Macaca fascicularis: one gene and its partners. The protein of the gene in region 7 purifies or fractionates together with the protein of the main gene of each other region. This does not show direct contact. Links are inferred from orthologs where the notes say so. Each region holds a gene or a part of one and is shown on either strand. Other genes may lie near its edges. The genes, in order: PPP4R1, CCT3, TIPRL, INTS9, INTS12, CCDC6 and PPP2CA.

Region 1 (3,977 bases), on a different chromosome or scaffold from region 7:
TCCTGCCTCAGCCTCCCGAGTAGCTGGGACTACAGGCGCCCGCCACCTCGCCCGGCTAGTTTTTTGTATTTTTTAGTAGAGACGGGGTTTCACCGTGTTAGCCAGGATGGTCTCGATCTCCTGACCTCGTGATCCGCCCGTCTCGGCCTCCCAAAGTGCTGGGATTACAGGCTTGAGCCACCGCGCCCGGCCTGAAAAAAATTTCTTTAAAAATGTGTAGATTTTGTCTTTTAAAATTCTAGATACCGGCCAGGCGCAGTGACTCATGCCTGTAATCCCAGCACTTTGGGAGGCCAAGGCAGGTGGATTGCTTGAGCACGGGAGTTTGAGAGCAGCCTGGGCAACATGGTGAAACCCCATCTCTACTAAAGATATTTAAAAATTAGCCAGGTGTGGTGGTGCATGCCTGTAGTCTCAGCTACTCAGGAGGCTGAGGTGGGAGGATTACCTGAGCCAGGGAAGTCAGTGCTGCAGTTAGCCGTGGTCGCACCATTACACTCCAGCCTGGGCAACAGGAATGAGGCCCTGTCTCAAAAAAATAAAATTCTGGATATTAGCTGTTGATGCCATTGAACATACGTAATCTTGTTTTTCTGTGTAGACAAATGGTGGCCCGGAGTTTGCTGGATACCTTGAGGGAAGTCTGCGATGATGAAAGAGATTGTATCGCTGTTTTGGAAAGAATTAGCAGATTGGCCGATGATTCAGGTATATGTTCATGTGGAGAAAGTGAATTTACTCTGTTCTAGAAAGGTTTCTTTGACCAAATTTGTGTTTCTAAAAACTAATGAAAAAATTAATGTGATATGAGATGGCTTTAAAATCTTTCCTAAGTAATTATCAAAGCCATCCATGACAACAAAAGTAAAATGTGTTACTGAGACCTGGACATTTTACAGTAGTCTCATTTAGTTTAATTTTAGAAATTTCTCATCAAAACAAGTCTAAAAATATTGTTTTGCATCATGTATATTAATATTTTAGGATTAATAATATCTAGAATAATTTTGAATACATTAAAAGAGATGGAGAAGGCTATAAATTGTTTTTTTTTTTTTTTTTTTTTTGAGACGGAGTCTCGCTGTGTCGCCCAGGCTGGAGTGCAGTGGCCGCATCTCAGCTCACTGCAAGCTCTGCCTCCCGGGTTTTTACGCCATTCTCCTGCCTCAGCCTCCCGAGTAGCTGGGACTACAGGCGCCCGCCACCTCGCCCGGCTAGTTTTTTGTATTTTTTAGTAGAGACGGGGTTTCACCGTGTTAGCCAGGATGGTCTCGAACTCCTGACCTCGTGATCTGCCCGTCTCGGCCTCCCAAAGTGCTGGGATTACAGGCTTGAGCCACCGCGCCCGGCCTATAAATTGTTTTAGGCAAATATAGAAAGCTTGCTTTCTGTGTGGTTTCTCACTTTCAAAAAATGTTGGTTAACCATTTGTAAAACTACACCTGGTTTATCTCCAAAGTGAAAATGAGAAAGTCTGCTTAAGAAAGAGGTAAACTTGATGTGAAGCTTAGAAAATGGTGATGTTAGAGTTTTTACAAATATGTCTTTTGTTGTAGTAAAATATACTTAACACATGAAACTATTTTAAGGTAATATTAAGCATATTTTTATACTTGATTTTAGAAACAATCCAAAAATAAATTCTAAAACTTTTTTCCTTAAATCTGTTATCTTTATTAAAGTATATTTTCCATCTCTGACAGACTTTTTGGCATCTCAGCAAGCCCCATCTTTTAATTTTTAGACAAACTCATCTTTTGATGAACAGTTCATTTTAATGGGAATATGTTAAATGTTTACATAAGCCTTAAATGTTCCTAATATTCTTACAGGGTGGGTACAACATTTATAGGCTTAACTGAGCAATAGTCTACCTTTGTGTACATAATTGCTTATGTATATGCTTGCTCTAAAATGGTTTTAGGAGGGGTCTCATCAAGTATAATTTTTACTTATTTTTTAAATTTGATTTAAGTTAACTAACAATTTAATGTAAATTCATGGCACTGTTAAGCCTATTATGGTTTTATTCCTTAGTAAAGACAGATATTTTAAGGATGGATTTGTGTTTTCCTTTATCTGTTTACCAGCTCTAGAGTTTTTTTTGGTAAGTGTGTGGGGGTGTGTGTGTGTATTTTAAAATATGTTCTCACATTGGTAAGTTCATAGTAAATGTCTCTATTGACATAATTCTATTCATTCAGTATACATCAAACAGTACCTACTCTATACCAGGTTCTAGATTAAATGCTAGAGCAGTCATTAAGGTGAACAAGGATTTCTGTCGTCAAATTAACAGTTTAGTGAATGCAGCCAACATATAAACAGTACATTACAGTGGGAAGGATCGGGGCAGGCTTCAGAAAGTGAGTGACGTTTACGTTGGATTTGATAGAATCATGAGGTATAGAGAGGGGAAAGGGCGCACCCAGGAGAGGAAAAGACAGAGGAGTTCAAGAAGGTGGCCCGTTTGGTCAACAATGAGGCCAACCTGACAATGAGACTAACCTGCTGAGTTTCCAGGTTAGAAAAATTAGGCTGTTAAATAAGGTAGGTGAGGGCTAGATTGTAAAGGTTTATAACAAACCATGCTGATGACTTTACCTGTTTTGTGATTTAGAACAGTGTGGTGTAGCAGTATGAACTGATATGGTGAAAAAGATGGGTGACAAGAAGACTAATTGGAAGACTATACCAATTAATTGGGTGTTTTTGTTTTTGAGACAGTCTTGCTCTGTCGCCCAAGCTAGAGCAGAGTGGCGTGATCTCCACTCACTGCAACCACCCCTGCCTCCCAGGTTCAAGCAATTCTCCTGCCTCAGCCTCCCGAGTAACTGGGATTACAGGCATGCACCACTACACCCAGTTAATTTTTGTATTTTTAGTAGAGAAGGGGTTTCACCATGTTGGCCAGGATGGTCTGGAACTTCTCTAACCTCAAGTAATCCACCTGCCTCAACCTCCCAAAGTGCTGAGATTACAGGCATGAGCCACCGTGACCAGCCAGTTAATTGTTATAAGGATGAATTGTTGGATAGAAATTGAAGTGCTGGGAGGGATTCCAAGGCTAACCTCCGGATAGAGTGAGGAAGAGAGAGGATTTCACCCTGAGGTTTCTAATTTGTAGGACTGGGCTTATTGTGATATCTGGGTAAGATAAAGACTATTGAATAATATAGCTCTGAAGTGAATGAAATATGTATCCTTTGTTTAGACAAATAAGCAGCTGAGAACCTTTCAGTCTTCTGCCTTACCTTTCATTAGCTTTTATCTTGATTTTTTTATTCCCCAAAATTTACCAACTGCTTTTATTATTTTCCCCTGGAATGGATGGATGTGTAGTGGTTTCTCATTGTGGTTGTAATTTACATTTCCTCAATAGCCAGTGAAGTTCATACCTGGTTATATACTTACTGGCTATTTGGGTATCCTTTTTTTTTTTTTTTTTTTGAGATGGAGTCTCACTCTGTCATCCAGGCTGGAATGCGGTGGCACGACCTGGACTCACTACAACCTCCTCCTCCTGGGTTCAAGTGATTCTTCTGCCTCAGCTTCTCGAGTGGCTGGGATTATAGGCATGCACTACCACGCCCACCTAATTTTTGTATTTTTAGTAGAGATGGGATTTCTCCATGTTGGCCAGGCTGGTCTTGAATTTCTGACCTCACGTGATCCACCCAACTCAGCCTCCCAAAGTGCCGGGATTACAGACATGAGCCACCATGCCCGGCTTCTTTTTTGAAATGTCTAAGTCTCTTCCCCCTTTAAAAAATTGGCAGTCGTTTTCTTACAGATTTACAGGAATTCATTCTGCATATGAGCCCTATGTTGTTGATGTGTATTGAAGATATCTTTTTCACTCTGTGCCTTGTGTTTGCGCTCATAGTGATGCTTCTTAAAGAAGAGAAGTGCTTTTCCTTTATGGGTTGTGCTGCTTTTGTCTTCTTAGAGATTTTCTCCAATCTCAAAGTCATAAT
Region 2 (4,690 bases), on a different chromosome or scaffold from region 7:
TAAGTGGATAGGCTCTGGAGTCAGAAGGCCTCAGGCATTTCCCTGGCCACCAATGGAACTGTCCCACTATAACTCAGTATCTGTTCACTCTAGCTAACACCATGTCTTCTAAGATCCTGTACACAATCTTGTTCTAAGTATTAAGAGAAGATACAAAGGAAGAATAATAAATTCATTTAACAAATAATTACTGAGCATCTACTATTTAACAGATCCAGTTCTAGGTTCTGGGAATACAGCAATGCTCCCAATTTAATGGGGAATGCAAAGGAGGTCTTGCTTTTTAAGGGAGGGGAAGCAGGGCCTCCAACACACACCTTTTCTGTTAGGATGACTAGTGTGCTGCTCCATCTGAACACCAACAGGTGTGGTGCCTGGGAAAGAATCATAGCATCAGATGATCAACAATCCATGCTAGTATTTTCACTATGACAATTTCCTAAGTTGTCTCCAGCAGATCTCAGGCTGTTCCAGTCTGCGGAGGAAAAAGTAGGAAACTCTATTTCATGGCCAAACGCGTGACTGTTCTCCTTCACTAGTTTGGAAAACAGTTATTTCTATACCAGTGCTTCATTTTTTTTTTCTGGACAAAATAGTAATTTAACCAAAGCCAAACCTTAAACCTCTCTGATGAACGGGCAATTACTTTCCGTGTTCTCACCATGTTTTAATTTCCACGGTATGATGAGTCCTTCTCCTATCCCGAATGGTAATTTTAAAACTCTGGCTCCCCATCATCTCTAACTAAGACTGAGGACAGCGGGAGAGGGATGGATGTGGGGAAATAAAATCTCAAAGCACCACAGGGAATACTTTTTTTTTTTTTTTTGAGATGAAGTCTCGCTCTGTCGCCAGGCTGAAGTGCAGTGGCGCGATCTAAGCTCACTGCAACCTCCGTCTCCAGGGTTCAAGCGATTCTCCTGCCTCAGCCCCCCGAGTAGCTGGGATTATAGGCGCGCGCCACCACTCCCGGCTAATTTTTGTATTTTTATTAGAGACGGGGTTTCACCATATCGGCCACGCTGGTCTCGAACTCCTGACCTCAGGTGATCCACCCGCCTCGGCCTTCCAAAGTGCTGGGATTACAGGCGTGAGCCACAGCGCCCGGCGGAAATACTTGGGAAAATATTTTAGATAGGGTAACTTAAGGAAACGCAAGCCATCACCCTCCGGTACTGCTCACAGCCTCACTGAAAGCATTTCCTAAGAAGGGAAAAGTCCACACACAGCCATTAGTCCAGATGCGATAAACCACAACTCCCAGTGTGCCCGGAAAAAGGCTGCCCAGTCCCGCACTGTAAGACTACAACTCCCACTTCACCCAGGGCCAAGCCGGCCAGGTCTTCCCCCATCTGCTGGCCGGAGTCCCGCCTCTCTAGTCCACCTATTGCTAAGGCTAGAACAAAAGAGTGGAAACTGTCAAGCCTTTCTTAGCCTTCACGGTCGGATAGGAGCCGAGTCGCAATACACAGTTTAACGACCTCACCTGCGGTGTTAACCGAAAGCCGCAACCCCAGCACCCAACCCTAGAGTTGACACACATGCGTAGTGGCGTGCCGGCCAACTGCCAGAGCCTTGGCGCCTGCGCCGACGTTCGCGCTGCACGCGGCCGGGAGCGGCCACCCTATTGCGCAAGCGCCTGTGCCCTCCCAGTGCCTTCATCGTGCTCTCTCTGCCTAACTTGTCTGGTCGTTCTTGCGTAGAGGGCGGGACTCAGGATGTCAATTGGTCTGTTTTTGTGCCGATCAATGAGATAGGTGCGGTGATTGGTGACTACCTTGAGAGTAGCGAGTTAAGGTGTAAGCCCTGAGGAGGCAGCGTTTTCTGGGTTTCCGTCTGGTTCTCTCTCTCCAGAAGATTCTGCCGGTTCGCCCAGCTCTGGGTACCCGGCTCTGCATCGCGCCGCCATGATGGGCCATCGTCCCGTACTCGTGCTCAGTGAGTTCTGGGGATACCAGGAAAGGGACTCCCTTTTCACCCTTCTGCGTCCATGGTTTTCTGTTGCCTCAGCTCCGTCCCGCCCTGACCCGGCCCCCGAGCCTTCCAGTCATCATCTTCATTTTGGAAGCCCGGTGTCCCGCTTTCCTTTCTTCCCTTAACCTATTCGCTTCTCTTCACAAACTCAAACTGACCTTTTTCTCGCCGAGCCTCTTTTCTTGACGTGTGCTCGTCTTGGGAAGCTCTTCCCACTCCGCGTTCTGTCCCTCAGTCCCCACGCTTCCCCCGCCGCTGCACCCTTTCTAGCCTGATTGTCGCTATATAGTTGCATGAATAATGTTTTTTGTTTTTTCAGTTAGGTCTAGCTTTATATCCTTGGCCCATCCCTTAGTAGCGGTCATTTAAATGTTTCAATCTGTGTTACGGAGTTAATAGTATTTCCTAGTAGAATTGTGAGAATTAAATGAGATAAGTGGGCAGACTGCTTGAAGAGGGTCTGGTGAATAGGTAATATCCTTGGTCACTTTACGTTACATTTATTTTCAGTAACAGTCATTTGAACAGCAACCCCTGTTCTAGAAGTAACCGTACTTGCTTCACTGATCATAGATGTAATCGTTCCCTCCGTGTCCCCGGCGTTGTAATCTTTCCCACTCACCAGTTGGGTTTTCCCAGATTTCTCGACTGGTCATCTTTTCCCTTTGGAAGATCCCTTATTTTTTTTCTTTCTATTTTTTGAGACAGAGTCTCGCGGTGTCACCCAGGCTGGGGTGCAGTGGCGCGATCTCTGTTCACTGCATCCTCTGCCTCCCAGGTTCAAGCATTTCTCCTGCCTCAGCCTCCCGAGTAAGCTGCGAGTACAGGCGCGCGCCACCTCGCCAGACTAATTTTTGTGTTTTTGGTAGAACTGGAGTTTCACCATGTGGGCCAGGCTGGTCTCCAACTCCTGAGCTCAGGTGATCCGCCCACCTCAGCCTCCCAAAGTGCTGGGATTACAGACGTGAGCCACCGCGCCTGGTCCCTTATTTCTTCTAATGAGCACCACCTCCATTGTCTTCCTTTGATATGTTTCCATTCTGTGTGTAACTTCTGTACCTCATCTGCAGAGCCTGACTAGCCATCTCTCCTCCCTTACCGTCTTCTGTATACTGAATGCCTTTCAGAGTTTTTATTCATTATCTCTGTACCTGGGAAATAACTTTTAAGGAAAAAAATAAAATAAAACTTAACGCTATTTTGGGGAAAAAAAACCAGGTTGGGCTCAGTGGCTCACGCCTGTAATCCCAGCACTTTGGGAGGCCGAGGCGGGCGGATCACAGGGTCAGGAGATTGAGACCATCTTGGCTAACTCAGTGAAACCCCGTCTCTACTAAAAAATATAAAAAATTAGCCGGGCGTGGTGGCGGGCGCCTGTAGTCCCAGCTACTCAGGAGGCTGAGGCAGGAGAATGGCGTGAACCCGGGAGGCGGAGCTTGCAGTGAACCGAGATCCCGCCACTGCACTCCAGCCTGGGCGACAGAGCGAGACTCCATCTCAAAAACAAACAAACAAAAAACCTTGTTTCTGATGGATTGTAGGTCCATGCGGGTTTTTGGTTACAGCTCCCTGAGATAGATGTAAATCCTAAGCATTGTGGGTGTTTTGGTTTGATGGGACTGGATTGAAAGATTTACAGACTTAAATTGTAAGGGAATGTAATTTAGAGAGAGGAAGGAAATAAACATTATGTTGGTTTGGTTGTAACCACTGGCTTGTCTCCACTGGGATGACCTGGGGGTGAGTGGTGTATTTGCAAAGCTCCTTTCAGATCTGCATTAATCTCTGGCATTAGTTGACTGTGACCAATTAGGCTCCCAGTTAAAGTATGTAGTCAGTTCTTAGTGGTGGTAAATGGGTTACTGAGGCCTTCTTATTACATCCAGTTATGAGGTGACTATATAATTTATCTTGCATACTGTTGAGTGTGTTCTAAACAGTGTACTGTGGGGGCACTATCACTAATTATGTTGAACCTGTTAGAGTATGATCCCCCTATCCAAGCAGAAAATGTGAATCCCCAAACTCTTTCCCTGCTTACATAAAGCAATGAATGGTCATTTCTTAGGGTCACCAGCCCTTTAAGATAAATAGCTGTGGATCCTTTTTCTGGGGGAAAAAAAAAAATTGCAGTCTCTCTCATTTTCTCACATAATCTCAGGGAGTTCACTATCCCATTAAGGCCCATTCATGGATCTCAGGTTATGAATCCCTGCTGTAAATATATGAATATTTGGTTAGAAGATAAGTATTAACCAAGATTGCAAAGTTATTTCTTAATACATCAAGGGTTGAAATACAGAAGGAAGTAAACAGCCATAGGGACATATGTTTACAGTTTTTTGAGATATGGTTGACATATAATAAACTGCACTTATTTAAAGTGTAGAGTTTGATAAGCTTTGCTCTGTGGATACACCGTGAAACCTGCATTCTTATTTTTCAAAGACTGGGAAATAAATAGCTTGGGTACGATGGGGCAGTCCTGGGCTGTTAACTGTTGTGTTTTTATCTATTTTAGGCCAGAACACAAAGCGTGAATCTGGAAGAAAAGTTCAATCTGGAAACATCAATGCTGCCAAGGTCACAAATCTTTTAAGTGTTTATGGTAGTTTGTCTCCAGCTATCTTCCCTGGTATTTGGTCATAGCCGTGTGTCCTGTGCATCTAGACTTTATAGAGTGAGCAAATAGGGGAAAAGTTGACCTCTTCTTTCA
Region 3 (3,977 bases), on a different chromosome or scaffold from region 7:
GCGGCGGGCGGATCACCTGAGGTCGGGAGTTCAAGACCTGCCTGGGCAACATGGTGTAACCCTGCCTCTACTAGAAATACAAAAAAAATTATCTGGGAGTGGTGGTGCAGGCCTGTACTCCCAGCTACTCCAGAGGCTGAGGCAGGAGAATCACTTGAACTTGGGAAGTGGATGTTGCAGTGAGCTGAGATCATGCCACTGCACTCCAGCTTGGATGATAGAGTGAGACTCTGTCCCCTCCACTGAAAAAAAAAAAAAAGCTGCCTTTTTTATATGACAAAAGGAAGACTTACCCTCACCAATCCTAAATTTTTCTGTGATGCATTACCATAGATTGTAAAAACCGCTAAGGTGCTAAATAAATTGATTGGGTAAATTATTGGATTAAAGAAACTCCCTTTAATGAATATTTAAGGCACCTTAAAACCAGAGGAGCTTCCTGTCTTCTCTCCTTATAACTGGTTATACCTGTTTTTAAGAGGGAAACTTGATGTTAGAAATAGGGCATTTTCAGTCCTGGCACTGTGGCTCACGCCTGTAATCCCAACATTTTGGGAGGCCAAGGCAGGTGGATCACCTGAGGTCAGGAGTTTGAGACCAGTCTGGCCAACATGATGAAACCCTGTCTCTACTAAAAATACAAAAATTAGCCGGGCGTGGTGACACGTGCCTGTAATCCCAGCTACTAGAGGGACTGAGACAGGAGGATTACTTGAATCTGGGAGGCAGAGGTTGCAGTGAGCCGAGATCATGCCATTGCACTCCAGCCTGGGCAAAAGAGCAAGACTCCATCTCAAAAAAAAAGAAAAAAGAAATAGGGCATTTTGGCCTGTGTTTAAGAAACTCTATATTTAGAACATTGAAGGACTGTAAATTAGTAACAGTGATTCTTTTACATATATGAGTGGAATATTTTATAGGACTGCCAGATTTTTCCAGATGTATTGGGTAGAACCCACAGACTCACGTATTATTTCACATTTGGTATGCATTATTCAAGTTAAAACTTATTTTATGGAATCTTATGTAATATATATTCCAATTACAGTTTATTGTATCTAATCTTTTAAGTATTTAATATTTTCTATCTCCTAATAACAAAGAATAAATTTTACTTAAAATTATGATGAAAGGTAACATTGTTAGGTATCATCCTGAAGACCTGTACCTCAAAAAGTTAGATCACTGATATGTGCACACAGAAATACACATATAGATGTAAAAAATATACAATGTGTATACAGCACTTTGGGAGGCTGTGGCGGGCGGATCACCTGAGGTCAGGAGTTCAAGATTATCCAAAATAGTCTCTACTAAAAATACAAAACTTAGCTGAGCATGGTGGCAGATGCCTGTAATCCCAGCTACGAGGGAGGCTGAGGCAAGAGAATCACTTGAACCTGGGAGGCGGAGGTTGCAGTGAGCCGAGATCTTGCCACTGCACTCCAACCTGGGGTGACAGAGTAAGACCTTGTCTCAAAAACAAACAAACAAAAAACAGTGTTAAGCTTTGTTTAAAGACTTGAAGTCAGTAGAAAGGAATGCTTAAGAAAAGGGGGCCTACTGTCTGTCTTGTGATGCTATACCAGTCAGGTTGGAAAGTAAGGCACATTATACCATTGCACATAAAAAACCATTTAATGAGATTTTATGGTTTGTCGGGCATGACTTAATCCTTGCCTTGCGTGGCCATAGGTCTTGTTTATCATACGCATTTTGATCATACTATTTTATCATAAGCATTTTTCCATATTATTATATTCTCTCTTTAAACATTTGTAATGGTTCCGTAATATTTCATCATATGGATATACTTTGGTTTCCATAATCATTTATTGCTTTATAATGAAACATTCAGAGTATTTCTTTTTCACGATTATAAGTAAAGCCATTGTAAGTATTAATGTGTATAGTTTTTTTCTGTACTTGGAATTGTTCTTTAGTACAGATATCCTAAAACTGATACTTTGGGTCAAAGTGTGTAGATTTTATTAAATTCCTGTTATTTTTTGCTTGATTGTTGCACCAGGGTGAAATGTAAATTGACACAATCCTTCTGAAAGTCTGTATAGGCAAGTGCTGGGTTCCCTCATCAGTATCAGGTGCTTTTGCTTTTTTCATCACCACTTTTTGAAACTTACAACAATTGAAAATTTTAGTGGAAAAATTATTTTCCTACAAGGGACAGTATCTTTATTTGCTTTGCTATCTTCTCTTCATACCTTCATGATATATATTATAGTAATATCTGTGTGCTATATATTATAGTAATATAATAAGCTATTATATCTGTGTTTGTATATTATCTTATTTAGCCCACTACCTAGTACAGTGCCATAAGATATGATAACGAAAGAATGGATGATGAAAGCATTTTGTAGACCTTGCAAATATATCATATTGATTAAATCATACGCTGTGTAACTCATTCAGCAATGTAGGAAGAATTCTCTGGGTTGGAAAAGAAACAAAAATGCCAACAGCGATATAAAATTATCTCACATGACTTTTGGTTATGTATAGATTAGCCGATGAATTACATATGCCATCTCTCCCTGAAATGATGTTTGGAGACAACGTTTTAAGAATCCAGCATGGCTCTGGCTTTGGAATTGAGTTCAATGCTACAGATGCATTAAGATGTGTAAACAACTACCAAGGAATGCTTAAAGTGGCCTGTGCTGAAGAGTGGCAAGAAAGCAGGTGAGAATCTGGTCAATTAGGTTAAACAAAAAATATAATTAGGTTAAACAAAAGAGAAAGACTTGAAAAAATATTCAGTAATGATACGTGTGTGTCGTTAGAATGAAGAACTGGTATTATTAAACATGAGAGTTGTATCATTCTAGAATTCATTTTTCTGAGACATAAAAATGGAAGTTAATTACCCCACTACTTGAATTCTTATTAAAGTGAATTACAACTGAGCTGAGCTATGTACTTTTTCAATTCTTCAGCATTCCTTATTGAAGAGGCAGTAGGCTATATTTAATGTTCCTGTTTTTCAAGAAAAATGTTTACTTATGATATGCTTAATAAATATCCTATTTGAGAAGCATTGAAATTAAGACAGCATGTTTTTCTTTGATAGTCAAATCAGCAATTATTTACTTTGTGCCTAATATGTACTAAGTACCTTAGATGATACAAAGAAGTATAAACCTTTAAACCGTGTCCTCAGGCAGTGTACAGACTAATTGAAAAGACTACATCAGTACATGACAAGTTAAAGAACGATAAATGTAGAAAAACTGTAAGAAAAACCTTGTACTGGTGAATTATAACAAGTGTATATATTTAATAGGATATTTTATGTTATTGTAGAATATAATTGGATGTGATATATAAATACAGATAATCTCTATTCTGCATCACTGAATCTGATCCTTCTCATTTTGGTATTTGAGGACGGAGGGTGAACACTCCAAAGAGGTTATTAAACCATACGATTGGACCTATACAACAGATTATAAGGGAACCTTACTTGGAGAATCTCTTAAGTTAAAGGTAAATCTTACTTTTTTCTTTTATGAGTCATTAATTGTCTTGGACAGTCTGAGCATTAGAACTTTCTAGTAACGGGTTATTTTTCGCAACTACTTTTATTGTCCTTGTTTTCTGTTGTGGCATCCCTCAGAACGTAATGTGAGGGGGTTTTGCTTGTTGACTTATCAGCAGAAAATAAAAGATGGCCTTAATGGAAAAATTTATTTTTAAAACTGTAGTTGGTGGCAGTGGCAGACTGCCATATTGTTATCATTATCACTATCAAGAAACACTAAAATGGGTTTCGGGCCTTGGTAATGTATTACGTGATTTAGACAGAACCTGCTAGCTAGTAGCTTACAAGTTTATAGATGAACAAATATATGGGCAAAAAGAACTTCTGGTTAGACAAAGTAGGTTTATGCCCTGCCTGCCCTGAATATGAACCTGAAATGACTTTAGGTAAGTTACTTGAGTCTCAGTTTTATCAA
Region 4 (4,579 bases), on a different chromosome or scaffold from region 7:
CACAGACGCGTACACAATCCAGCACTCCCGACCCCCACCCCAGGCCCCCCCGAATCTTCAGCAATTATTCATCTAATTCACACGAAGACAAGATACCTCTACCTACTGTTTCGGGGTGAAGGTGGGTGGAGGACGCCTTTCAAAGTAGCCCCAATAGTGTAACCAAAACACGGTTCCGGAATAAAATATTAAGAAACACTTTTCCTTTCCCACCTATCTACCGACTTAAGGATGCAAAAAACCCATCTCCACATCACACCATCTCTACAGTTCTCGTGGCTGGAGTTTGGGGTGGAGATTCGTCCAGGGGAGGGGGCGGAGGCGAGTGGCGGAGTGTGAGCGGGCGACGGGACACGAGCGAGTTGCTAAGCCCGGCTGCCCCGCACCACGTCGCCAGCCCAAATGCCCAGCACCAGGACCTCACGCCCGCCCCTCAGCCCAGGCCCAGAGCGAGCGAGGACTCGCGCTGTCTAACTTCTCATCTACAGACACCGCTCCAAAACAAGCAGAGCACACAAGTACACGTCACACAGTTTAAACACACTTCCACACCCCAAACAAACCAACACACCTGCAAATCACCTCACAGTTTCTCGAACTCCACACCAGAGACCCCACCTCCAGGATTCAAACCTTCCGCTCATAGTAGAGGAAACCAGAAGAGTTGGGGGGCAGTCGACGCCTTTCCAGGACCGGCCCCCACGAACTGCCCCACCCCACAGCCCGCGTCTGGATCACCCACTCGGAAGCCCCCTGCTTCCTCCCTCCTCTCAATCCGGCCGCTAACGAGACCCATCCCCAGCGTCCGCTCACTTCCTCCCCAAAACCCCTCCAAAAAAAATTGTTTTAAATGAAGAGAAAGAAGTGAGGAAAGAGACTTGAGGTTGTCCGGCTTCAAAACCGCTCGACTCACCTCAGAATCCTCGCTGAGTTCTCTCCGCCCGGCAGAGCCCCCTCCCCAACGTCCCAGTACGAAGGGCTGAGGTAGGGAGGAGGGAAAACGGGAGGGGGAGGGGTGTCTTCCGCGTGGGGTGCCCGTCGGGAGGGGACTGGGGAGGGGTTGAGGCCGACGCAGGAAGAGGAGAAGGGGGAGGGGAGGCCCCTATCTCCCAGTCTCCCCCTGAAAAACCTCCCTTGTCTCAATCACATCAGACTGACTGTCTTTGTCTGGCTGACAACCGCCATATTGATATCAACAGCCCCGCTCCCACCTGCTGCCGCCCGGCGTCCCTGGGAGTTGTAGTTCCTGCCTCCCCCGAGTAAAAGCGCGGAGCCCGGCGCCTAGAGGCCCAAGAGAACTACAACTCCCGGCAAGCCCCGTGCCCATCCGCCTTCCCTTTGGGAGGAGGGGAAAGGGGACCCGGAGCCGTCGGGACTACACATCCCAGAACACCATGGGCTCCAGGCGCGTAATGGGGACATGATATCATGCTGGGGTGGAGAGGGCGGCGGGGATGAATTTGAGCTGACGGAAGGAGGCGTCCGCAGAGGAAACGGAGGAAAAGGAAAGGCGACCACAGTTCCCATGGTGCCTGGAGGGGAGACTACATTTCCTATGATTCCCCTGGAAGGGACGTGAGAATGAAAGACTGCAAGTCCCGCGATGCTCTGGGCTGGCAGGTGGCGGAGATTGCACCGGAAGACGCTTCCTGCGTTTGAGGAGTTCAGTGACTGCTATTGAACCACCAAAAGTCCATTATGAAACTGGTGAGTCTTCGCTCCTAGGTCAGAGGGCAAAGTTGATGCTATATCCTTTTGGACCTCTTTTTTTCCTACTTTGGGCAGGGAATCGTCACACAGGAGGGGTAGCAATTAAGTAGCTGGAAAGTGGAGTGGGCTAAAGAAAGCTGCTTTTTGTTGTTAAGAAGGCTTGAATTCCCTCTCCCGCCCCCCTATCCCTCCCAGGAGGTCTTCTTTCACTCGTTGGTGGGTCTTTTTGTTCAGACAAGACGTTGACTCGGTCACAGTCCTTCCCCTATGAACTCTGTGGGCTCTGTTAACCAGGTTTGGACGTCCTGGCTCCCACGTTAGGGTTATAATAGGCTGTTAACAACCCCTTTCCATTCGACTGGCGCTTGAGTAGCCTGTCTCCCTACTGTTGTTGAAACTTTGGCTAGATTTAAGCAGACAGTAAAAAAAACATTCGGCAGAACGTAATCACTTATTAAATATCCTGTTGTATAGACTCCTCACTGCCCTTGGTATTCAGGACGAGGTCAGAGTGTGGAGAAGTTGAGTCTTAAACCCTAACTGGGATTTAGATGGGGAGAGAAGTGTTATATGGTATTCCATTCTAAGACTGTAGGGACTGCATGAGCCAAGTCTGGATGAAGTGTGCCGGTATACCTGAAGTCTTAACATCACACAACTCAAGCACCTGGCTCATAGAGACTTCTCAAACCTTTGATTTGAGCCATTTGACTCATTGTGCATACAGGTCTGACTAGTTTATTCCAACTCGATTCAATTAGTAATAACATAGTGTAGAAAGGCAGGTGTGAAACTCTCTTTATCAACCTTTTAAAATCCATATTCGTGCAGCCAAGTTACTGTCAAGCTTTACTTGAGGCAGGAGAATCGCTTGAACCCGGGAGGCGGAGGTTGCAGTAAGCAAAAAAAAAAAAAAAAAAAAAAAAAAGTTTATTTTACCATTTATATAATTATCTGAATATGCTTTTCCAAACCACACAACCCACCTACCCTCATCTTGATAATCATTGTGTTACAGGCATATACTCTGCAAAGCCAGCTGTTTTCTGCGTAGTCAAAGTGTTAAAAGTGGATTCAATTCTGAAATTGTCTCCATGTAAAGATGTTTATGTAAGAGGAAGGATGCGGGTCACTAAACCTTGAGAATAGCAATTTACTCCTGGGTCAGTGTGCTATACATTTAAGAATGCAGAATTAAAAGTCATAGCAGTTGCCCTACAGAAGCGTGCAACCTAAGAAGAAGATGAAAAGTAAACCAAAGTTATTATTTATTTATTTAAAGACAGGCTCTGGCTCTGTGGGGCCCAGACTGGAGTGCAGTGGCGCGATCTCAGCTCACTGCAACCTCCACCTTTTGGGCTTAAGCGATCCTCTCGTCTCGGTCTCCACATGTAGCTGGCAATACAGGCACGCACCACCACACCCTGCTGATTTTTTTGTAGAGATGGGATTTCAACATGTTGCCCAGGCTGTCTCAAACTCCTAGGTTCAAGGAATCTGCCCACCTCGGCCTCCCAAAGTGCTGGGATTACAGGCATGAGCCACCGTGCCTGGTCCGAAATTATAATTCACTGTGTTCAAGGTAAAATAGAGGCGTGTTCAGGGTTTTGGGAACTGAGAGAAGATTGGGGAGGTCAGGGACAGCTTCCTGGAAAGGTGACTGACTCTTGAGCTGATAAGAAGGATAAGTAAGCCAGGACCTTCCATGAAAGAAGTCAGCTTATAGGAGCAGAAGACCTTGGTAACTTATTGGCTAAAGCACAGACCCTGTGTTCTCAATAAAGAACAAATTATACTTGGTGTGTTCAGTTTAAGAAGGCAGGGAAGTGTGAAATAGTTTTTCCCATAACAACTCATTAGTGAGGGTATCAAAAAGCCAGAGTTGGCCGGGCGCGGTGGCTCAAGCCTGTAATCCCAGCACTTTGGGAGGCCGAGACGGGCGGATCACGAGGTCAGGAGATCGAGACCATCCTGGCTAACACGGTGAAACCCCGTCTCTACTAAAAAGATACAAAAAATTAGCCGGGCGAGGTGGCGGGCACCTGTAGTCCCAGCTACTCGGGAGGCTGAGGCAGGAGAATGGCGTGAACCCGGGAGGCGGAGCTTGCAGTGAGCTGAGATCCGGCCACTGCACTCCAGCCTGGGCGACAGAGCCAGACTCCGTCTCAAAAAAAAAAAAAAAAAAAAAAAAAAAAGCCAGAGTTTACTTTACGTATACTTTAGTTTGCTCATAAAATCCTGCTTAATTTATTTAGAAATAGGAAACCAGGGAATAGGAAAAAGTAAAAAAGTGGAAAATTATTTTTTCCATTAAGAACCAAAGATGCCTCAGAGGAAAAGGAAGTCTTCTACTGATACTCATACTCTCTCTTTACTTTGCAACTATGTATTACATACTAAAACTTATTTGGTAGTTGATAGATACATATAATTGAGAATTTCCATCAACATACCAAAAGCATTGTTGCTCAGTAAGTTAGGTTGATGCGTCATGCCTCCCAAATGGTGGTAATAAGTCCTCCCATGGCCTAAAAGTTTTAATTTTGTGTACTGCTTCAGGAATATGTGATAGGCTGTGTTTTAAGTTTATAATTATGAAACAAAAATACATAATTTTGTTTAACATTTTCTCATTTTTGAGATTGACTTTCCAGAGTACCCTTCCCACATACAATCTATGACCACCTCTTATTGATTCTACTTCCTAAATGAAACTTTCTTAAATAGATTCTGTTCCTCTCCAGTCCAACTAGAATACTGTCTTTGTAGTGGGCTCTTTTTGCTTGGAATTCAACAAGACCCCTTATCTGGTCTCCCTGTATTCAGTCTTAACCCTGTCAAATTCATTCTTTCCTCTGCATCCAGAAGT
Region 5 (3,977 bases), on a different chromosome or scaffold from region 7:
AAGAGACCTGCTGATAAAGTAAGATTTTATTTTAATCTTGTTAAAAGAAAAAAGGTAAATTAGTTGTTCCATAAGCAGAAAGGAACAATGGTTTATGTCTATTTCTTTTATATAATAATGAGTATAGGTATATAATAATCATCACTCAGTGAATATGTATTGATAACTATAGATTTTGACTTTGAAAAATGAGTAAAATTTACAAATTTTAAAGTTAAATGGTTAAAAGCTATTGTCAATAAATATTTGAACCCTAGGGAGTATAGTAATTTTGAGTATAAACTTTTATCTATGCCTCAGAGGTCCTAGATGGTACAGTTGTTAAGAAGAAAAGATAGATACACTTTGGGAGGCCAAGGCAAGTAGATTGCTTGAGCTCAGGAGTTCAAGATCAGCCTGAGCAACATGGTGAAATCCCATCTCTACAAAAAATACAAAAATCATCTGGGCATGGTGGCAATTACCTCTAGTCCCAACTATTTGTGGGCGGGTAGGGGGTGGAAGAATTGCTTGAGTCCAGAAGGCAAAGATTGCAGTGAGCGGAGATCATGCCACTGCACTCCAGCCTGGGTGACAGAGTGAGGCGCTGTCTCAAGTAAAAAAGCAAGCAAGCAAGAAAGAAAAGATAGGAGAGTATAGATGTAAATGACTAAACATAAACTTTATAGAATGGTATGCACCTGAGCAGGGCCACGGATGATTCTTGGATTGTCTATTTTTAGATGATTTCTACATATAGTAATTAAGATTTTAGTTAGAAAAAAATACATTTGAACGATATCTTCAGTAACCTTTGCCCTCAAGATGGAGTATATTATCCTGTATGTTTTCATACTTTTGCTAAATAGTGGCTATTCATAAACTGCGTTAGATTATTTCTCTGCTTTTAGATCTACATAAATGAGACTGGGCGTGGTGGCTCATGCCTGTAATCCCAGCACTTTGGGAGTTTGAGGCAGGAGGATCACTTGAGGTCAGCAGGTCGGGAGTTGGCCAGCCTGGCCAACATGGCAAAACACCATCTCTACTTAAAATACAAAAATTAGCCAGGTGTAGTGGCGCACACCTGTAGTTCCAGCAGATCGGGAGACTGAGACATGAGAATCACTTGAACCCAGGAGGCGGAGGTTACAGTGAGCAGTTTGTGCCCCTGCACTCCAGCCTGGGCAACACAACAAGACTCTGTCTCAAAAAAAAAAAAAAAAAAAAAATTATGTAAATGATATCATACGGTGTGTGTGTATATCCTTTGGTAACTTTTTCTCCACTCAACTATGTGCTTTTGAAATGTATCTATGTTGATGCATGTAGATCTAGATTTCTTTTAACTACTACATAATACTTACTCTGTGAATTAACCAGCTTATCATTCCCCTACTGATGCACAGTTAGATATTTCTCCTTTGTTTCTATTACAATGGAGTTGAAGTGAGCTACTTTATACAAATGTCATGTTAATAGTTTCTATAGGATGTATACCTATAAGTGAATGTAATAGGATATGACATCTTCAACATTGCTAGGCATTGCCAAATTGTTATCAAAAGTAGATGTACTAAATCTACACTGTCATCAACAAAGTACAAGAATTCCAAATTCCATGTCTTATCAGACTTTTTGATTTTTGCCAAATCTAATGGGTATATTGATAATATTTATATCTTAAAGAAGGGAATCCGAATTTGCTTTGAAGCAAATATGTGTTAAGTCTGTACAGTAGATACTAGTCTAAGTAAATCCATCGAACTTCCAGAAATCTTTAATAGATAGAAGAGTACAAAGAGAAATACAAATCTTTGTTAAACTGTTCTGATTTATTTATTTCTGTCTTGCTGGTTTCATTTAATGTACCGATAAATTCGTTATAATTCTTCTACAGATCGTTAATGTGCACATATGTCCCAAACTATGTGAATATATCTGTAAAATGGACTTGATCATTGCCTATTGTCCTTTTTATTCATCTTTCAGTGACTTAAAGTTTATTCTACCACATCACTTTATCATTTTCTGATGCCTGCTTTTTATAGATGAAATCAGACATCACTGAAGGAGTTGATATTCCAAAGAAACCTAGATTGGAGAAACCAGAAACACAGTCCTCTCCCATTACTGTCCAAACTAGCAAGGATTTAGCTATGGCTGACCTTTCCAGTTTTGAGGAGACCAGTGCTGATGATTTTGCCATGGAGATGGGATTGGCCTGCGTTGTTTGTAGGTAAGTTGTCCCTTGCCACAGATTATTTTGTTACTTTATGAAGAACACAGGACCCCTTTCCACTCCTCAACCCCCCAAATCAGAACAATTGTGCATTTTCTATTTTGTTTTTACGATTTGAAACTGGGGTGGAGATAAGTAGATGTCTTATGAACTGCCCATGTAACAATTTAACATATTGAAAATTGTCAAATATTATGTCTTTACCAACTATGGCTTTTAAATCCGTTATGTTGTAACATTTTCTGCATTTTTGGGTTCCAGAGGGAAAGTGATTATTATATTATGATATATATGCCTATGATAATCTAAGGCTATGGTGACTGCCTTTTGTGCTGTTGGAATTTATACTTTTTTATACACATATGGCTTCATTCTATTAATCTGATCAGACATTCATTGAGCACCCTATGTGTGTGCAGTAACGTGCTAAGGACTGTGAATAGTTAGGTCCACTTCTCACCTTTAGGTAACTCATATTAATGAAGAACAACAACAACATATAGCTAACTAATATAAGGGAATTTAATAGAGATACAAAATGTTATGAGACTGTTGGAAGACTAATCAGAGTCTACTACCTTCTGAGAGAAAGACAAAAATTATAATGAGAAATGACAAGGAGAAAATAGCCAAATTTAATCATGGCATTCCATGTATTTATTAATGGTTGACCATAAGCTTTAAAAGCTTATGCTTTTGTGCATGCTATGTGTTGGAGTTTGTTATTTTGATCTTTGGGTTTCTGGGATTTTTTTTCTTTTTAATATACCAAACTTTACTAGAACAACCCTGAAATAACATTTTTTTTTTTTTTTTTTTGAGACAGAGTCTTACTCTGTCACCAAGGCTGGAGTGCAGTGGTGTGATCTTAGCTCACTGCAGCTTCCATCTCCGGGGTTTAAACCATTCTCCTGCCTCAGCCTCCCGAGTAGTGGGGATTATAGGTGTGCACCACCATGCACATCTAATTTTTGTGTTTTTAGTAGAGGCAGGATTTCGCCATGTCTGCCAGGCTGGTCTTGAACTCCTGACCTCAAATGATCCGCCTGCCTTGGCCTCCCAAGGTACTGGGATTACAGGCATGAGCCAGTACACCTGAAATAACTTTAAATTATTGCATTAAAAAAGTAGTGTAATGTTTAATGGTGTGTTTTCTTAGGCAAATGATGGTGGCATCTGGCAATCAATTAGTAGAATGTCAGGAGTGCCATAATCTCTACCACCGAGATTGCCATAAACCCCAGGTGACAGACAAGGAAGCGAATGACCCTCGCCTGGTGTGGTACTGTGCCCGATGTACCAGACAAATGAAAAGAATGGTAGGAATCGTATTTTTAATTTTAAACAGTCTGTCAATGTTTCTGTTGGTATGTGCTTTCAAAACAAAGATTTGAATATTTAAGATATTGAAAAAATAAATAATATAAGTTGATTATTTAAATGTTTATATGTATAGTATATATATGTGATTAATATTTCTATGGCTAAAAACCAGACCACGTTATGTGCATTTTTCTCTGTTTAGTTTTATCTACTTCTAATATAGATAAACAAACAAGATTGGTGACATACAAATTATGAATATTCCTTACTAGTCTGTCAATGTATTTATAAACATTTTAATATACCATGCAGCACTGAGAATTGGTGAGATACAAAGCGCCACTCTTTGTTGAGGTCTGGTAAGGAAATATAGAAAATTCCTGAGTGAGCTTAAACCACCAAATGAATAAGATGTGTACAGAGGCGATATTTA
Region 6 (4,639 bases), on a different chromosome or scaffold from region 7:
TTTCCCCCCTCCTGCTACACAAACAGTGACAGAGTTCAGAAGCCCTCTAGCACTAAGCTAAACTACCTGGGAGAAATGGGGGTTTAGTTGCTGTTGGCATTTAAGCTGTTTGCTGAAAGCAGCCATCTTGGTGAAAGATGATGTCATTTGGAACACTTGGTGTTTTCGAGTTTATTCTGAGGTGCCAGTTTCCAAGAGCCATTGAATCACCGTTTAATCATGAGATCAAATTTAAGTTTAAAGATAACGAGGGAGTGGGAATAAGAATCATTCTTCCTTCTTCCTAACGCTTTAGAAATCTTTCAGAAAGTTCAACGCAACAGAAAACAAAATTACACTTTTTTTTCTATTTTCTGTTTCCATGTGTTTGTTCTAATGTTAACTAAGCATGGGTAATAAAACTAGTCTGGTCAGTTTCACTTTCCAATTTTTATACATAAGTGAAAGCTGTTTTGTGTCAACAGGGCAAAGTGTTTAGAATCATCTCACCTGCTGGGCCAATTGCCTGCAAGCCTTTGGGAAGAGGGAGGGGGAATAAAAGTTTTTGATTTTTAATTTCTTAAACTGCAAAGCTAGAACCCTGAATTAGACCGCGTTGTAGTAATTACTGTTTTATTTTTACATGCTAAAGTTTTCTAGGAGTGAGCAACAGGATAGCAAAGAAGGGTGATGTTGTACTCCCACTCAATCATTACTATTTCTATAGCATAATGTTATGTCCGCGGTTACTTTGGAAAATTGGCACTTAAAGAGGTGTTTCAACCTTCTGCTAAAAGTGTTTCGCTTTCCTTTTTTTTTTCTTCATTAGATAAATGTTACTGCCTTAATCCTACTGCGTGACATGTGCTGGAAATGTTTGCAAAATGCAAAGAGAAAAAGAAAAAAAACAGTTGCACCTTGTTTAAACAATTGAGCGCAGTGTGGTTTATAAGGTTATTAAAGGGGGTGTGTGTCTCTCCCGCAAATTCTTTCTTAACAAGGTTAACTTGTGGCTGCTGTTGTTTCATCCTCCTCGGCCTCTTGTAGAGGAACTTTGTTCTCTTAGGTTTATCCAAGCCTTCCCAGTCAAAAACACCTTGCTTTTGATAATATAAAACTGCGTGTATGTGTGAAACAGATAGAGGGAGACACGCGCACACACAGTCGGCGGAAGATGGGGCCACAACACGGTAGAGGATGGGCGCCGGAGCCCGGCTGACCTTTCCACGTGTCCTCGGCACCTGCGAGGCTGGTGGGGCATCAGGTTTCTTTTTTCTTGGGGCGGGCGCGAGCCCGGAAGAGGCTGGGCGGCCGCGGGCTTAGACCAGGGGGCTCATAGGCCCTCCCTTGGAACACGTGTGGCTGGCGAGCTGGTGGTGCGGGGGCAGTACTTGGCTTTCCCGCACCCGCAGTGCCTGCGCGTTCCCAGCCCGCCCGTGGTCACCAGGCGGCGGCGGGCGGGTCCCGGAGCTTTCAGCCAGCTCTGCTGGGCGGCCTAGTGAGCGCGCCCGGCCCGGCTGGAGCAAGCCCCAGTGCAATACTGCCCAAGCCCGGGCGGGGTCTCTGTTCTCTGGCAGAGGAGGTCCCTTGGCAGCGGGAAGCGCCCTCTCTTTCTCTCGCCGCCGCTCCGAGTCTGCGCCCTGGTGCCAGGCGCTCAGCTCGGCGCTCCCCTGTGCTCGCCCGGCGCCCACTCATTCGCAGCCCGGCCTTCGCCGCCGCCGCCTCCCTGCTGCTCCTCCTCCTTTCCCCAGCCCGCCGCGGCCATGGCGGACAGCGCCAGCGAGAGCGACACGGACGGGGCGGGGGGCAACAGCAGCAGCTCGGCCGCCATGCAGTCGTCCTGCTCGTCGACCTCGGGCGGCGGCGGTGGCGGCGGGGGAGGCGGCGGCGGTGGGAAGTCGGGGGGCATTGTCATCTCGCCGTTCCGCCTGGAGGAGCTCACCAACCGCCTGGCCTCGCTGCAGCAAGAGAACAAGGTGCTGAAGATAGAGCTGGAGACCTACAAACTGAAGTGCAAGGCACTGCAGGAGGAGAACCGCGACCTGCGCAAAGCCAGCGTGACCATCGTGAGTGCCCCCCGGGGGCGCGCCGCAGCGCCAACCTCCGCCCGGCCCGGGAGGGGCTGCACCCGCATCCAGGCAACCCCCAGTCTTCCCCAGATTCCCGGGGACCCTCTGAGAGCACACTCCCTGCGGGGACCTGCTGGCCTCTGGGAGGAGAGGGAGGTGTCCTTTCGGGGCCACGCGGGTCTGTCCTCCTCGCGGGGCTGAGGACCCTTGCGCGGTGCGGGGGAAGGCTACTGTGGCAACCATTCATGGTCCCTTTTGGCCTCTGGAGAAGAGGCCCCTCCGGGGCTGGGCTGGAGGCTGGCGGCGTGGCTGGGGGGCGGGGTAGGACTTTTTTCAGCCCTAGCATGCTTGAGGGGTGCGTCCAGAATCTGGGGAACCCCAGTCCGGGGGAGAGAGCGGAAGCTGGGATATCTTACTGGGGCCTGGCTCGGAGTGTGGGGGTTCGCAGCTGGGCTGGGTACTAAGCTGGCATCTGGACGGCACTAGCTGGATCGCCCGGGTACGGGGCGGGAGAGAGTGGCCGGGAATCCGGGAAGTGGAGTTTTCTGGCCAGGATCGAGAGGGAAGGGCGGGTACCAAGCTAATGCTCCCACCTCCATTGGAAGCTCTTTGCCTTGGAGTGGGAGGGTGGACGGTTTACTGCGAGGAGAGTGCAGCATTCAGGCCTGGACAGGGCTGGGGCCGAAACCAGGGGAAGGGTAGCCACTGTGACTCCCTGGCTGAGCCAGAGGTACGTGTGTTCGCTCCATTCGTAGAGTGATTAGGAGCATCTTGCTTCTGAGTCTAGATACTGGAGAACAGGCCATCAGTTCTGTTTCTACCTGGTCCCTGGAGGCTGCCCAGAAAAGGGTAAGCTTGGGTCTGCAGGTCTCTCCTGGTGTGGCAAGCGTTTAGAAAGGCCCGTATAGCAGTGATGAGGCGAAACGTAACTAGAAAAAGTACACTGTGTACTCTCACCTATCATCCCTGCCAGCTCACCACATCATTAACATGCAGGATCCCCACACAGACAACTGTATTCAAATCAGAAGTTTCCCAGCCAGGAGGAGAGAAGAAAATGTCAAGAAATCAAGGGGGATAAATTGCCATAGCTGCTGCAAAATAGCGGATTAGGCTGAACTTTGAAATAAAGAAAAAGGGTTGAATTTGGGGATGGAGGGTCCCATCTTGGAAATGGGGCAAGTTTAGGATGCCCCTTGCGCCGGGAAATAGCCTACGGTGGAGGAGCCTGTGTATATATGTGCGCGAGTGTGTATACCCCCAATGCTGGCTCATACATGAGAACTAGATGGCATTCTTAATTTGTGTAGAAAGCAAATTGCAGGTTAAGTGTGATCAGTAGCCTAAATAGCAGTTGATTGTAAAAAGAAACTTTTCATGTTCAAATCCAATTTTGGAGAATGGAATTGGAGCAACTTGCATGTGAGATGGTAAAGTTCTTGAACTGCCCTTTTGGTAGGAAGGGGGGTGGGGGCGGGGAATTTGCAGAGGCAGCCACTTCCAAGCCTCCTATGCAGCTTTCTTGGCTGACAGAGATGTCTTTGCTGAGTGGGGGTTAAGAAGAGAGGGAAGTTGGTGGAGGCAGTTTATTTAAGATTTGAGTTAGTAAATGAGAGGGTTAGTGTCTTGGAGGTTGTGAACCATGGAAAGTAGTAAAACTTGCACGAAGCGAAATAGCCTTTTGCATGCAGTAGGCAATTCAGGCTGGTTTTGTTGGGGAGGGAGGAATGAGGGATGCAGAGACTATCAAAGGGTTATCTGTTTGACACTTCGACCGTACTATAAGTAGGTTTGTAAACTGTACTTACACATGTTGGCTTTGCAGGAACAAATGTGTTCATTCCCTGTGTTTCAAACCAGAGGCCTTCTGAGTACTTAGCTCGAAAAGTGTATAAGGTGGTGGCTTTTTTTCTTAGCACTTACCCTTAACTAAAACTGACATCCAGCCGAATATACTTTGTGAAATGTCGTGCGGTGTTAATGAGTAAAGTTAAAATTGTTTTAGATGACACTGCACAAGTACCAGAAGCCTCTCAGTTCTTCTTTAATCTCTGACTAATATATTCAGGGAGACAAATAAAAAAGTGCTTGTGGTTCGCCTGGTTTCCTAATACTTGGCAGTTGTTACTGAGGAGCTGAATGATAAATGCAGGAAATAGATTCCTTCAAGATTTTGCAGGTGTTAACTGACCTAGGATCCAGATTCTGTAGGGGTACGTTTGACCCCTCAGGTATGTAATGTGGGAGGAGAAATGTATGTGACTCCATGAAATTGGTCTGTGAATGCAGAGAGTCCATTGAACTACACTTTAGTAGTTTATATCAAGGTTAAGCTGTACAATCCCTGACATTGCTCACTTAAGCATTACCCTTGCTAGTGGCAGTCTAGGAAGTTTCTGATAATTAAGTGAAGACCTTGTTAGATTTTTCACTGTGAAAACACTGTTAGAATTTTCACTGTTAATTTGAAGGGAAGATGGTACCATAATTCTGGTAATTGCCTTTCTGGCTCTTTTTAGTTTCAATTGTGATATTAATGTTCATGTTCTTAGGCACTAAAGGTGATTGTGGCCTTCTTTTTCCTTGAGCAT
Region 7 (3,406 bases):
GTCTTCAGGTGAACGTACATAAGACTAAACCATGATCCAACAATAGTTTTCTATTTGGTTTCACTAGTATCACTCAAAGAACTTGACACAGGCTAATGCTTTAACACTTTCTTATCGGAGACAAATTTAACTCTAAGAACATATGACTCAACAATGTACAAAGATTTAAGAATTTGCCAATCTGTCAATCATTTTAAAGAGTCCATATAATATACATAGCAATATAATATTCATAACCAGAAACTGCACTAAGTAAACACATCATTTAGTTTGTTAAGCTCTACCTGAAAACATGCTGTTTTATTAAAACAAAACCCAAAGACTTAAATCTCAAGTTATATGGTTTTACAATTAAGTCTTACTGAAGCAGCACAGATTTCCTTTCTTACAAACAAATTAATATGCAGGAAGAACCCACAAAGTGCACACCAACAATGTGACAAACTGTAATATGTGAAATACAAATAAATCCTGAAGTTAATCTGAAGAATGTCAAGGAGTTACCAGAGGTTATGTAGTGCCCTTGATTTTTATTTTATCTACAAGTCTACAAATTCTAAAATTTACTCAATTGATTTAACTTTTTTAATAAACAGCACCAGTCTTGCCCATTGATACAATTAAAATTTGACCTTCTCAGTTCTTAGTTCACAAGTTTATTATGAAAAACACTGCAGTGCTCTTGTGCAGTCACATCATCTTACAGGAAGGGAGAAAAAAACAGTTCTGTTCAAAACAACTCACCAGGTTCTGACAATAACAAAGAACAACATGGGGCTGAGATTTGAGTAGGGAATAAACTGAGTGCAGACAAATCATATAATTAAATTAAACGGTATCCCTGAAAATAAAAAGAACGATTTCAAAACTCACAAGTAGAAGGGAGGCCTTGGTACTTATTTTTAAAAATGTTCATTAAGCTCCAATGATTGTTTGCTGCTATCCTTATCTACAGTCATGCTGAGTAAAGCTATAGCTAAATGGAAGTTAAATTGTATTCACGAGGTGTTAATGTTTACATCTTATTATCTGCAGTCTCTCAGAGAAAGCAAAAGTAACTACAAATAGCGCTATGCCAGAAACTGGTTTCTTGACCAACAATGTCGCTTCAGCATGCAATGAACTGGTTCATTCTAAAGTGGTCACGGCTGTTGATGACAAGAGGCTTTGTATTTTTATATGGCACATCTTTTGGTCCATGTGAAAACAAGTTTTTTGAATGTTAACTATTTTCTGACACTTTGGAGTTACTGTTGCTCTTCCCATTTCCATTAGGTCGATATATGGTTCATGGCAATACTGTACAAGTTTAAAATTTCATTACAGGAAGTAGTCTGGGGTGCGACGAGTAACATGGGGCTCGCCTCTACGAGGTGCTGGGTCAAACTGCAAGCTGAAAAACAAGACAGATTCATGGTTTATGTTCCAAGACCTCCATGTACTGACAATCAAAATCAAGAACATGAGTCTTTCAAACTTTACACTTCCTATCCAATTTCAGCTTGTCTTAATGTAACAGAACCCTAATGATAATGGTCTGTTAACCGTACTCCCCTTGAAAGAGTCAAGGCAAATTCAGCCACAGAGACTATGCTTTTATAAAAATATGGTTTTTACCTTGACTGAAATTTCAAACAAAACAAAACATGGTTGGCGGGGCGTGGTGGCTCACGCCTATAATCCCAGCACTTTGGGAAGACGAGGCGGGAGGATAATGAGGTCAGGAGATCGAGACCATCCTGGCTAACACGGTGAAACCCCATCTCTACTAAAAAAATACAAAAAAATTAGCCGGGCACAGTGGCGGGCACCTGTAGTCCCAGCCACTCGGGAAGCTGAGGCAGGAGAATGGCGTGAACTCGGGAGGCGGAGCTTGCAGTGAGCTGAGATCGCGCCATTGCACTCCAGCCTGGAGGACAGAGCAAGACTCCGTCTCGGGGGGGGGGGGGGGGGGGGGGGGGGGGGGGAAGAAAAAGAAAAAACAAACAACAAAAAAACACAAAACATGGTTTTAAAAGTGAAAAACCTAGTAATTTATACTAGGATCTATATATAATAAGTTCCTGTGGGTGTGTTTCAATGTAGGTCCATTCAAAAACTTAAAAATAAAAGTTGGAATCTAACATAGTATAATCCCTTAATAAACTCTTTTTTGAGATGAAGTCTCGCTCTGTTGCCCAGGCTGGAGTACAGTTGCGGTATCTTGGCTCACTGCAACCTCTGCCTCCCAGGTTCAAGAGATTCTCCTGCCTCAGCCTCCCAAGTAGCTAGGATTACAGGCATGTGCCACCACGTTGGGCTAATTTTTGTATTTTTAGTAGAGACGGGGTTTCACCATGTTGGTCAGGCTTATCTTGAATTCCTGACCTCAGGTGATCCACCCACCTGAGCCTCCCAAAGTGCTAGGATTACAGGCGTGAGCCACCGTGCCTGGCCCCCTTAAACTCTTAAACCTCACATTTAACTATGTATTCAGGCTGGGCACTGTATCTTTTTTTTTTTTGAGACAGACTCTCACTCTGTCGCCCAGGCTGGAGTGCAGTTGTGCGATTTCGGCTCACTGCAAGTTCACACCATTCTCCCGCCTCAGCCTCCTGAGTAGCTGGGACTACAGGCACCCGCCACCACGCCTGGCTAATTTTTTGTATTTTTAGCAGAGACGGGGTTTCACCATGTTAGCCAGGATGGTCTCAATCTCCTGACCTCGTGATCTGCCCACCTCGGCCTCCCAAAGTGCTGGGATTCCAGGCCTGAGCCACCGTGCCTGGCCGGCACTGTATCTTATACTTGTAACGCCAACACTCTGGGAGGCCAAGGTGAAAGGATCACTTCAGCCTAGGAGTTTGAGGTAAGACTGGGCAATATAGTGACACCCTCTCTCTCAAAATAAATAAACAAACCAAAAACCTACATATTCAGTAATGCAATAAAATGTTCAAGTAGAAATACTTACAAAGAGTATTTTAGAGTATCGTCAAGTTCCATGATTGCAGCTTGGTTACCACAACGATAACAATAGTTTGGAGCACTGAAAATTGTTACTACATTTCGGTCATGGCACCAGTTATATCCCTACAAGGAAAAGGAGGCAAAAATCTTACTTTACTCCCTCAATTCAACTAAATGCTACTTCACTCAAGAGAGAAAAAAATCTCTACTCATTCCCACCCCTGCCAAAGGGGCTTAAGAAATGTTAATACTTTTTTTCTGGTTGACTTAATAATTTGCTGTACTTCATACAACCTGTAAGATACATACGTATTTGTTTTCCCCCTAATTACAAAATTTGCTTTTAGTACTAAAAAGAAAAAAAAAAAGCCTTTAACAAACAGTGGCGACCACCGAAGAATGAACTGCTTCTCATGTATCTGCCTTGCTGTAAATGATGGTGTCTCATTAGCCTCTT

The links.
Region 1: the proteins of PPP2CA (region 7) and PPP4R1 purify together in Homo sapiens (affinity purification with mass spectrometry; 3 studies listed by BioGRID and IntAct, with this or other methods). This does not show direct contact. The link is inferred for Macaca fascicularis from reciprocal best matches to the Homo sapiens genes PPP2CA and PPP4R1.
Region 2: the proteins of PPP2CA (region 7) and CCT3 purify together in Homo sapiens (affinity purification with mass spectrometry; 4 studies listed by BioGRID and IntAct, with this or other methods). This does not show direct contact. The link is inferred for Macaca fascicularis from reciprocal best matches to the Homo sapiens genes PPP2CA and CCT3.
Region 3: the proteins of PPP2CA (region 7) and TIPRL purify together in Homo sapiens (co-immunoprecipitation; 4 studies listed by BioGRID and IntAct, with this or other methods). This does not show direct contact. The link is inferred for Macaca fascicularis from reciprocal best matches to the Homo sapiens genes PPP2CA and TIPRL.
Region 4: the proteins of PPP2CA (region 7) and INTS9 purify together in Homo sapiens (affinity purification with mass spectrometry; 3 studies listed by BioGRID and IntAct, with this or other methods). This does not show direct contact. The link is inferred for Macaca fascicularis from reciprocal best matches to the Homo sapiens genes PPP2CA and INTS9.
Region 5: the proteins of PPP2CA (region 7) and INTS12 purify together in Homo sapiens (affinity purification with mass spectrometry; 4 studies listed by BioGRID and IntAct, with this or other methods). This does not show direct contact. The link is inferred for Macaca fascicularis from reciprocal best matches to the Homo sapiens genes PPP2CA and INTS12.
Region 6: the proteins of PPP2CA (region 7) and CCDC6 purify together in Homo sapiens (affinity purification with mass spectrometry; 4 studies listed by BioGRID and IntAct, with this or other methods). This does not show direct contact. The link is inferred for Macaca fascicularis from reciprocal best matches to the Homo sapiens genes PPP2CA and CCDC6.

Annotation. Positions count from the first base shown.
Region 1 is NC_088392.1:77,938,905-77,942,881, reverse strand, and holds part of PPP4R1 (serine/threonine-protein phosphatase 4 regulatory subunit 1), read left to right. Parts: intron 1-601; coding exon 602-708; intron 709-3,977. UniProt on the Homo sapiens protein: Regulatory subunit of serine/threonine-protein phosphatase 4. May play a role in regulation of cell division in renal glomeruli. The PPP4C-PPP4R1 PP4 complex may play a role in dephosphorylation and regulation of HDAC3.
Region 2 is NC_088375.1:104,736,463-104,741,152, forward strand, and holds the start of CCT3 (T-complex protein 1 subunit gamma), read left to right. Parts: upstream 1-1,789; 5' UTR 1,790-1,907; coding exon 1,908-1,938; intron 1,939-4,495; coding exon 4,496-4,557; intron 4,558-4,690. Other genes in the region: TSACC (TSSK6-activating co-chaperone protein), read right to left, coding at 318-351. UniProt on the Homo sapiens protein: Component of the chaperonin-containing T-complex (TRiC), a molecular chaperone complex that assists the folding of actin, tubulin and other proteins upon ATP hydrolysis.
Region 3 is NC_088375.1:25,846,054-25,850,030, forward strand, and holds part of TIPRL (TIP41-like protein), read left to right. Parts: intron 1-2,523; coding exon 2,524-2,703; intron 2,704-3,407; coding exon 3,408-3,507; intron 3,508-3,977. UniProt on the Homo sapiens protein: May be a allosteric regulator of serine/threonine-protein phosphatase 2A (PP2A). Isoform 1 inhibits catalytic activity of the PP2A(D) core complex in vitro. The PP2A(C):TIPRL complex does not show phosphatase activity.
Region 4 is NC_088382.1:32,072,321-32,076,899, reverse strand, and holds the start of INTS9 (integrator complex subunit 9), read left to right. Parts: upstream 1-1,602; 5' UTR 1,603-1,698; coding exon 1,699-1,707; intron 1,708-4,579. UniProt on the Homo sapiens protein: Component of the integrator complex, a multiprotein complex that terminates RNA polymerase II (Pol II) transcription in the promoter-proximal region of genes.
Region 5 is NC_088379.1:111,409,543-111,413,519, reverse strand, and holds part of INTS12 (integrator complex subunit 12), read left to right. Parts: coding exon 1-18; intron 19-2,030; coding exon 2,031-2,218; intron 2,219-3,380; coding exon 3,381-3,540; intron 3,541-3,977. UniProt on the Homo sapiens protein: Component of the integrator complex, a multiprotein complex that terminates RNA polymerase II (Pol II) transcription in the promoter-proximal region of genes.
Region 6 is NC_088383.1:86,716,882-86,721,520, forward strand, and holds the start of CCDC6 (coiled-coil domain-containing protein 6), read left to right. Parts: upstream 1-1,672; 5' UTR 1,673-1,742; coding exon 1,743-2,045; intron 2,046-4,639.
Region 7 is NC_088380.1:140,719,034-140,722,439, forward strand, and holds the end of PPP2CA (serine/threonine-protein phosphatase 2A catalytic subunit alpha isoform), read right to left. Parts: intron 3,073-3,406; coding exon 2,954-3,072; intron 1,394-2,953; coding exon 1,321-1,393; 3' UTR 644-1,320; downstream 1-643. UniProt on the Homo sapiens protein: Catalytic subunit of protein phosphatase 2A (PP2A), a serine/threonine phosphatase involved in the regulation of a wide variety of enzymes, signal transduction pathways, and cellular events.